2 linked regions of the Nothobranchius furzeri genome follow. Each later gene encodes a partner of the first gene's protein in a complex. Links are inferred from orthologs where the notes say so. Each region holds a gene or a part of one and is shown in the gene's direction. Other genes may lie near its edges. The genes, in order: eif3d and eif3f.

Region 1 (4,568 bases):
TGCTTAACTGTACAAAATGATTTCCACGTTTTAATAAAGTAGATTGAATATTTTTTCAAACTTTTTTGTAATTCCTTCCAAAATACACATCCTCCATAAAAATTAGATAAATTGCATTAACATAGCCAAAGTTATTCACAAAAATACACGTGTCAGCACAAAAAAATGCTCTAATGTGAGGTAAGGGATATATATATATATATATATATATATATATATATATATATATATATGAGGATGGAAAAATTATTGAGATGGGCACATGACGTGTCAAGGGGTCTTTACATAACACCCCCCACCCCAAATCCGCACAAGCCTGCTGTGTCCCCCCCACTTCTGAAATCAAAATTTCGTCCCTGCACGGGGGGACCTGGTGAATGACCTGCAGAGAGCTGGGACCACAGTAACAAAGGTCACCATCAGTAACACACTACAACGGCAGGGAATCGAATCCTGCAGTGCCAGCCGTGTTCCGCTGCTGAAGCCAGTGCATGTTCAGGCCCGTCTGAAGTTTGCCAGAGAGCACATGGATGATACAGCAGAGGATTGGGAGAATGTCATGTGGTCAGATGAAACCAAAGTAGAACTTTTTGGTATAAACTCAACTCGTCGTGTTTGGAGGAAGAAGAATACTGAGTTGCATCCCAAGAACACCATACCTACTGTGAAGCATGGGGGTGGGAACATCATGCTTTGGGGCTGTTTTTCTGCTAAGGGGACAGGACGACTGATCCGTGTTAAGAACAAAATGAATGGGGCCATGGTAGCAGCTTCAGTGACAGACTGATCCATCCTCGCAGTGTGAAGGAGAGATGCTGCAGGTCTTTCCTTCCGGCCACTGTTAGACTCTATAATGGTCATTGCTAACATGGAACCCATACATCTGTAACATTCCACTACAAATATCATCACCAACATGTGCAATATTGCTATTACTGTTGTTATTATGTGCAATAATTACCTTGGCTATCTTAATTTACAAATATGCTCTTGTATATAGATGTGCTACTGCTGCTATCCTCCTTAAACTGTTGCAATAATGCAGTTTCCCCACTCAGGGACTGAAAAAGGTATTTTTGTTCTTATTGTTCTTGAAAGAAATTGCTAGAAAACATCTGATTTTTGGTCATGTCTGCACTTTGGTGCACAACTGGAAAGGCTGTGTGTGTGTGTGTGTGTGTGTGTGTGTGTGTGTGTGTGTGTGTGTGTGTGTGTGTGTGTGTGTGTGTGTGTGTGTGTGTGTGTGTCTGCATACCTCTCCGAAAGTACGTAGTTGCACCCTAGTAGACCTCACTTCTAGCCTAGTGAACCGCAAACATATATATCAGTGAAACCGACCAAACACGTCTTTGCAAGTTATAGAGACAAAATGTACAAACGGTTTTGATAAACATGACTAAATTTGTGTTCGGTAGTTTTAAAGGGCAATAAAGCAGAAATTGATGTGATAAACCATAGATATGTGTATAAACCATAGACATAGACACATCATGAGGATATGTCTGCGATATTAACGCTTGAAATTACGACAGTTGCGCTAGAAATACGGCAGAAGCCTCTTTCCGCTCTTTTTACGGTGCGTCACTTCCTCTCACGCCGGCATTCCGTCGGGTTTTACATCGGTGTAAAACCATCTGGGTGTAAAGACTCGATAAAGAGTCACATTATTCTCGGTAAGTTTCCACCAAAGTTTGCTCAGATGAGAGAGGAGTATCAGCGCTTGTTGGCGCTGGGAAACATCTCTCAGAGAAAAATGACAGTTTGCAAAAAGCCGGCTAGTTAGCTTAGCTTAGCTTTGTTAGCGGGCCCACCCGACAGGATGAGCCGCCCTAGCTAAGGCCGTCATCAGATAAAATATTTACAAAGAACACCCGTAACTTTGACATTAAATTAAGTGGAAGAGATTTTATTTCTCACTACTGAACACGGATTCATGCACGTTTGGAGTAAAACGCATTTGGCTGCAACGCATAAACAATAGTTAAATCTGTACAATACTATTCAGCCCAAGACCTGAAGAACACCGTTTAAGAAATAAAGATTTAAAGCAGTTTACTTTTTTTACTTTATCACATCAATTTATGCTTTATTGCCCCTTTTTAATACTGATAATAATTAAGTGTAAATGAATAACTAGGTCTCCGACCACCTGGAAATACAATTGGGCGTTTAACTCAAACCATAAGGACTACATTGCCATCCTCCTTTCCACTTCGGGTTTTCTATTCTAAATCCGTGGACTGGTGTCCTGTGGTTCCACATTTTTGGTTTGGCTTTCCTTGGTTGTTCATTTTCATTGTTTTTATGACCTATGTGACTGTCTCTGCCTGTGTTGGTGCAGCGCTGTGGTCGGTTATAATGCTGCGTTAAAAGCGCTCTAAAACTAAAGTGGTATGGTAAATATATTAGAAATGTGTCTGTTACGCCTGTCTCAGAATAATTCAACCAGTAAAAATAAATTAACATGACTGACTGGGTTTATTTTATAGACGAATGCTTGTTTGCATGGTCACTAGGTGGTATTTTAGAGTCTCTATAAGTGAAGCCAACAGTTGGCTGTTCTTGGACCATTTCAGAAATCAGCAGACAGTGTTTTAAACCAGTGATGTCAGCTTTTCCTTTTTATGGCTTTCTCTATTTTCTGTAAAATGTTTACCAGTTGAACGATCTGTGTTAATGACTGGGTTGGTGATGATTAGCCCACTGCGCAATCTGATCAGTGCCCATGTGTTTGAGAGCACTGCTGGAGAGATCAGAGCTGCTGTTGCTGAGACCCGTTGACGCTCCGCTGTGCTTTAACCAGAATCAAAACGCAGCATCGCTGAAGTCCGGTCTGTGTTCTGCTTCGATCTCAGGTCATGGCAAAGTTTCACGCCCCCGTGATCCAGGACAACCCGTCTGGATGGGGTCCGTGTGCAGTCCCGGAGAAGTTCAAAGATATGCCCTACCAGCCTTTCAGCAAAGGAGACAGACTGGGAAAGGTCTGCCCTCACCGGAGCTCCTCTAGCAGAACCAGAACCAGAAGCAGGTTGTGTTTGATTCTTACTGTGTTTGGTCTGACAGGTTGCTGACTGGACTGGAGCTACTTACCAAGACAAGAGATACACGAGTGAGTGAGATGGTTTAAATTCTTTATCTACGTATATGTTTTAATGTTAAACATTTGAATTATTTTTGTCTTTTTTGCTTTTCAGATAAATATTCCTCTCAGTTTGGAGGTGGGAGTCAGTATGCCTACTTCCATGAGGAAGATGAGACCAGCTTCCAGCTTGTGGACACTGCTAAGACCCAGAAGACGGCGTACCAGAGGAACCGCATGCGGTTTGCTCAGGTAGAGCATATTGTTGCAAAACAGTTTAGTCCTGATGAGACTATTGAGCTTCATGTAGGTCAGCAACAGACGTGGCTTTGTTTCCACAGAGGAACCTTCGCAGGGACAAGGACCGTAGGAACTTGACTCAGTTCAACATGCAGACACTTCCTAAGAGTGCCAAGCAGAAGGAGAGGTGAGATCATTACTCTGAGCTCCACTGGAAAGATCCAAGCTGAACAATGAGCTTTACCTCACTCTTTCGCCTTTTCAGAGATCGTTTGCGTCTGCAGAAGAAGTTCCAGAAGCAGTTTGGTGTCCGTCAGAAGTGGGATCAAAAATCTCAGGTGTCGATTATTTAATTTCTATTGTTTCCCTTTTAGAGCAGCAGAAATCAAATCATATTCACCAATAAAAAAACACATTCTTGGTTTATTTTTAAAGGTGCGGTTCATTGTTTAGTCGGTGCATCTGCAGTGGTCTCTAGTAGGAAGGGATACCTTGTAAGTCGTACTCTGTGGGTGCATCGGGCAGAGTGATATTTGTCCTTAGGAAAACCGATTTAAAGTCGGGCACATCCTTGGGCAGCCAGGTGCTGTAGCAGAATTTAATTTAAATGTATTTTTATGTTCATTGTTAAATACTCTAAATAAACTTTATTTATGTGTCTAATTTTAACGGAGTGCACAACGTTAAAATTTAGAAGTTGGTTCAAAAACCGATTCAACTTCAGAAATTTAGTGCATTAACTGATGTTGTTAGTGACATTTTAGCATGACCAAGAAGTGGAAAAACATCTGGATTTGGCCGTAAAAGTCACATCGGCTATCTCCTACGTGTCGGCGTCGACTTTAGCTGTGTGCGTCGGCAATAGAGAAACCAGTAGAGGTTGACCTCTATTTTCTGCTTCAGTCTGAGGATTCATGATCACAGATGAATGATTCTGAAGTATTTGGGTCTGTTTGAAGCCGTTGTGATGGTCTTTGGTGAATTTGTGTGTTTGTGCTGCTTCTCAGGCCCAGCTGAAGCCCAGAGACTCCTCTGTGGAGGTGAGGAGTGACTGGGAGGTGAAGGAGGAGATGGACTTCCCCAGACTGATGAAGATGCGATACATGGAGGTTTCTGACCCTGTTGACATGTAGGTGAAGCTTGTCTGGTCTGGTCTGGTTTGTGTTTGGGTTGAATCTGTACATCTGTAAAGTTCTGGTCCTCCTGCAGCGAGTGCTGTGGTGCGTTGGAGTACTACGATAAAGCGTTC
Region 2 (4,585 bases), on another chromosome or scaffold:
CATCCATGTCTCAGAGCAAACAAAGTCAGAGGTAGAGTCACAGTTCTGTCATCCAATCTGAGGCCAGATGTCCAAATATTATGAAATATGAGCCCAAATCCTGCCATGTTGAGCTCTCCTCTAGGCAGACTTGCCCATGCTGATCCAGGCGTTTCTGGGCTTTCTTTGCCCAGAGTAAAGCTTGCAAGGCACTCATTCCTACCAGTTGCTTAAATGAGTTTCCCACGCCTTTAGGGTTTATGGAATTGTTGACTAAAATTGTCTTTTCTGCAATAACACACAGCACAAACTTGATTTATTATACAGCGTAAGAGAAATTATTATGTTGTTCATTTATTGTTAGTTAATGTGTGTTTTTATGAAACACAAGGACAGAATAAATCTCTCCTTTGAGAGGCAACCTAATCCTGGAGAGCAGCTGCACATTAGAGCCACTTTAATTATGCTAGTTTCACAAAAAGCTTTGGGCTCTGTGTGTGTGTGTGTGTGTGTGTGTGTGTGTGTGTGTGTGTGTGTGTGTGTGTGTGTGTGTGTGTGTGTGTGTGTGTGTGTGTGTGTGTGTGTGTGTGTGTGTGTGTGTGTGTGTGTGAGCATGCACTTGATGTTAAATGTGTTGGATTTATTCTGTGAGCCTGCTGAGATTTCTTACATAAGTCCCATAGAGGACTCAGAGTTAAACATGCAGTGAGGCATGGTGTTCCTGAATCATTTGCACAGTAAAATGGAGTCCAGGTCCTCCACAGACCTAGATGTTGTGCGTCCATGCAGGAGGAGAGATAGATCAAGATGACGCATCACCCCTGATGGATGGATCAGAAATAGCCTCTTGACAGTGTCAATGAGTCAGCCACAATGCAACAGAAACCAAACGATCCAGAGAGCGGATTCGTGCCAAAACCAGCAGAGAATGAATAAAAACCTACCCGCTCAGTGTGGAAACTTCTGGCATTGATCGAGCTGATGTTTTATCCTATGAACAACCATCTGGTCCATGAACGAACCGGTGCTGGCAACCTTGATTCGGTGACTCCCATTTCTGCTCTTTATAGCTACCAGCGAGCCGGTCCGGGAAACCGACCCGGAGAAGGGGAAGAAAGCGCCTCGAAAACGATCGCTCAATAATCGCAGTAAATAAAAACGTCATCCGGTGAGAAAACACACATTTTAACTTCAACGACTGCGCAGAGGCGTCTGTAAAACATGTGCCAGGATGTGCGAAATGGTGGCAACAGGATGAGCCGGCAGCGCGAAAAGCTCCATCATCTCATCTGTGCGTCTCATGGAGTCGGCAGGTGTGCAGCCTCTGAGCGGCGGAGGACGCTGTCATCATCAGTCCAGCCCCTGTAACCCTTCCTCGCTCAGGCTCATCTCATCTCTACAACAGAAGGGGGACGGTCTTCCTCCACCCACCTGCTGACCCCACAGCAACTGCAGTTTTTGCATTTAATCATAAATGTGTGACATTTAGCTTTAATTAAATAAACAGTTGCATTTGTTGTTTTGTGTGCGTTTATTGTTGCAAAACTATACAAGTTACGCCCTAAACCATGAAAAATCAAAAAGAGTATGTTCTATTTGCTTTCAGAAACAGGTGTTTACCTGTTGGGTCGTCACTGTTGACGAGTTGTTTATTAGCGTAGGATTCAATAGCTGCAGTTTGCCCGCCCGCCTCTAGGTGGCGGTGTATGTTGTCGCTGTGGACGGTGGTACGTCCTCTTTCTCCAAGATGTCGGTGTTCGGGCCAGTGGTGAAAATTCATCCCGTCGTTCTTGCTTCTATCTCTGACTCTTACGAGCGTCGGAATGAGGGGGCAAGTCGAGTGATCGGAACTCTCTTGGGTAAGCAGAAACCTGAAATATCTGTCCAGCCGGGGGAGGAGACTTAATTTTCCTAGCTAAAATGCTATAGCTAACTCCTCAGCTAATCTGCTAGCGCACGTTGGCTCGGTTCAGTGTTGAATCAAACCGCATCTGGTAACCGCTGGAGCTGAACGTAAATGCTGATTCACCAGGAAACCCAACGAGACACTCATTTCTATCTGGTGTGTTCTAGGTACTATTGACAAGCACTCTATTGAGGTGACCAACTGCTTCTCTGTCCCTCACAACGAGTCCGAAGATGAGGTGAGCTACAAAAAGCACGAATTCATTGTATTCTAGTCTTGATTGTCACAGGCTGCATTGGGACCCTGTATTTCTGCTGCTAGCTGGCAGTTTGCATCGATCACTGGGATTGTAACAGAAAAACGGAAGTGTGTTACAGGAGTTGAGCCAAATAATGGATTGTTGATACTACCACATTCATTGTTTATCGTTTACAGCTCATATTCGGTAAAATAACTTGACAGCCAAAATTAAAATGGTTAAAGATTTATATTTTTACTTGAAGCTGATTAAGTGGGCAAGTAGTAGCAGTGCATAATAATGTAATCCCACCATCTCCAACTGAACCTCTCTAAAACTGAACTACTTGTCATCCCAGCAAAACCATCCATACAGCACAATATCTCAATCCAAAATGACTTCCTATCTCTGGCTCCTTCAAAGGCAGTTCGAAATCTGGGTGTTGAGATTGATGAACACCTGACCTTTAAAGATCATGTTACCTCTGTTGCTCGTTCATGCCGCTTGGCGCTGTATAACATAAGAAAGATCAGACCATACCTAACACAACATGCCACCCAGCTCCTGGTGCAATCTACTGTCATCTCCCACCTCGATTACTGCAATGCCCTTCTAACTGGTCTTCCAGTCTGTACTGTGAGACCTCTTCAAATGGTCTAGAACGCAACGGCACATCTGGTCTTCAATCAGCCAAAAAGAGCACACTCGCCTACCAAGCACTACAAGAACGGGCTTCTTTTTCAACTTTCAAGAAACTCCTGAAGACCCTGCTCTTCAGAGAGCATCTTCTAAACTAGCACCTTCCCTGCACCCGTCCTCCTCTCTCCTGTCCACTCCGTGTTCCCTCCTCTCCGTGATTCATCATGCAGCCTCACTGCCACCTACGACTGACTGAAAATTGTTTGTTGTTGTTAGCCTCAAGGGCAACATGCCGATTATAACTTGTAAGTCGCTTTGGACAAAAGTGTCTGCTAAATACATAAACATAAACAAATTACCTAGTTTAAATGTTAGGTTTTAGTAGAAATTACTGTAATAACTAAGTGACACAAGGTGTTTTTCAAACTTCTGGAAATGCTGAAAGAATGATCTTTATCTGTATGAGTATTTGCATTATTCCCATGAAATGTCAAGTGTACATAAGTTTTTAGTTTTGAGAATAATCTTTATTTCAACTGTTTTAAGAACGGTGAAAAACACCTTATCTTCTCAATGAATGCATAAAAACATTAAAGTATTTTCTGTCAATTTACACACATTCAAGGTTGTGGGAAAAATTCTTCAGAATAAATGTTGCCCATTTTGGTATAAAGTGATATACAGCCATCTAGTAATAAATATGCATAAATGTTACTGCATATTTTATTGTTTTGATGTGGGCTAGTGTATCTGATATAAAAGTAACATTAGAATATATTTAGTTAACTGGTGGGATGTTTACATACGTAGGTGATCCAGATAAGGAGGTAATATCACCATGTGTGTAGATCAGTGGTCCGCAAATGGCGGCCCGCGGGCCACGTCCGGCCGGCGAGCCCTCTCTTTGTGGCCCCCAAACCCCCACCCGCGATGGCCGACCGGGAGGTGTAGCATAGATAGAGCTGAGGAAAATACTCATAATCAATGCATGAGATGCGGGCATAAACTATTTCTGCGTCATAGAAGAGTACCTTAATCAATTATAGTGGAATGTGGTTTTGTTATTTTAACGGCGGCACCAGCATCCAAATCTGTCAAAGTGGGTGTTCTCCACATTTACCGGGTAGGAAACTTTGGTCCGCCTTTATGTGGTACTGCAGGGCTGAGTGCTGGAGTTGTAACCTGAGACCGAACCGAATCAGCCCAATTGGTTCTGTTGGATTTGGGCCGTGAATTATGTTAATTGAGCGGGTTGTCGCACGGCGCACTCTGCTCGCTCAATCGGCGACTGAGATGAGGGGGTCGGAGGACACTCCTCCAAACACGCATTATTATTTTCATAATTTCATTATTATTTCTCTTCGAAGCGCTCAGTCAGTGTTGTGATGTCGAGAGATCTGGCCTTGGGGAGGGAGCGGGGTGAGTGACGGCGGCTGCAGCGTGATCATCTGTCTCTTTTATTTAGGGACACGGAGAAGTTAAAAGGAGAGAGAAATAGAAGATAGAAGTTATTGTTCCACTTTATTCTTTTGTTTAATGATGATAAACTGATGTTAAATTCAGCTTAAAGAGAAACTGGGAGGAGGCTTTGGTTCATTTTAAGTTACGGGAGATCTTGTATGATCTGCTCCTCCAGAGACGGCATGGACATGAGGGTTACATGGTGAGGGTCCCACAGGACAGGTTAGTGCAGTCACACAGCTGAGCTGGAGAGGGACAGGTGTTCTTAAAGTTAAAGTCCCATTAGTTGTCACACACACAGGTGTGTGTGCGAAATTTGTTCTCCGCATTTGACCCATCCCCTGGGGGAGCAGTGAACTGCA

What was found.
Region 2: eif3d (region 1) and eif3f share a complex: the UniProt entries of both Homo sapiens proteins name them as parts of the eukaryotic translation initiation factor 3 (eIF-3) complex. The link is inferred for Nothobranchius furzeri from reciprocal best matches to the Homo sapiens genes EIF3D and EIF3F.

The regions. Positions count from the first base shown.
Region 1 is NC_091745.1:29,238,860-29,243,427, forward strand, and holds the start of eif3d (eukaryotic translation initiation factor 3 subunit D), read left to right. Parts: upstream 1-1,530; 5' UTR 1,531-1,673; intron 1,674-2,855; 5' UTR 2,856-2,858; coding exon 2,859-2,981; intron 2,982-3,063; coding exon 3,064-3,109; intron 3,110-3,194; coding exon 3,195-3,331; intron 3,332-3,420; coding exon 3,421-3,506; intron 3,507-3,584; coding exon 3,585-3,657; intron 3,658-4,326; coding exon 4,327-4,448; intron 4,449-4,528; coding exon 4,529-4,568. UniProt on the Homo sapiens protein: mRNA cap-binding component of the eukaryotic translation initiation factor 3 (eIF-3) complex, a complex required for several steps in the initiation of protein synthesis of a specialized repertoire of mRNAs.
Region 2 is NC_091751.1:40,239,574-40,244,158, forward strand, and holds the start of eif3f (eukaryotic translation initiation factor 3 subunit F), read left to right. Parts: upstream 1-1,680; 5' UTR 1,681-1,726; coding exon 1,727-1,838; intron 1,839-2,052; coding exon 2,053-2,123; intron 2,124-4,585. UniProt on the Homo sapiens protein: Component of the eukaryotic translation initiation factor 3 (eIF-3) complex, which is required for several steps in the initiation of protein synthesis.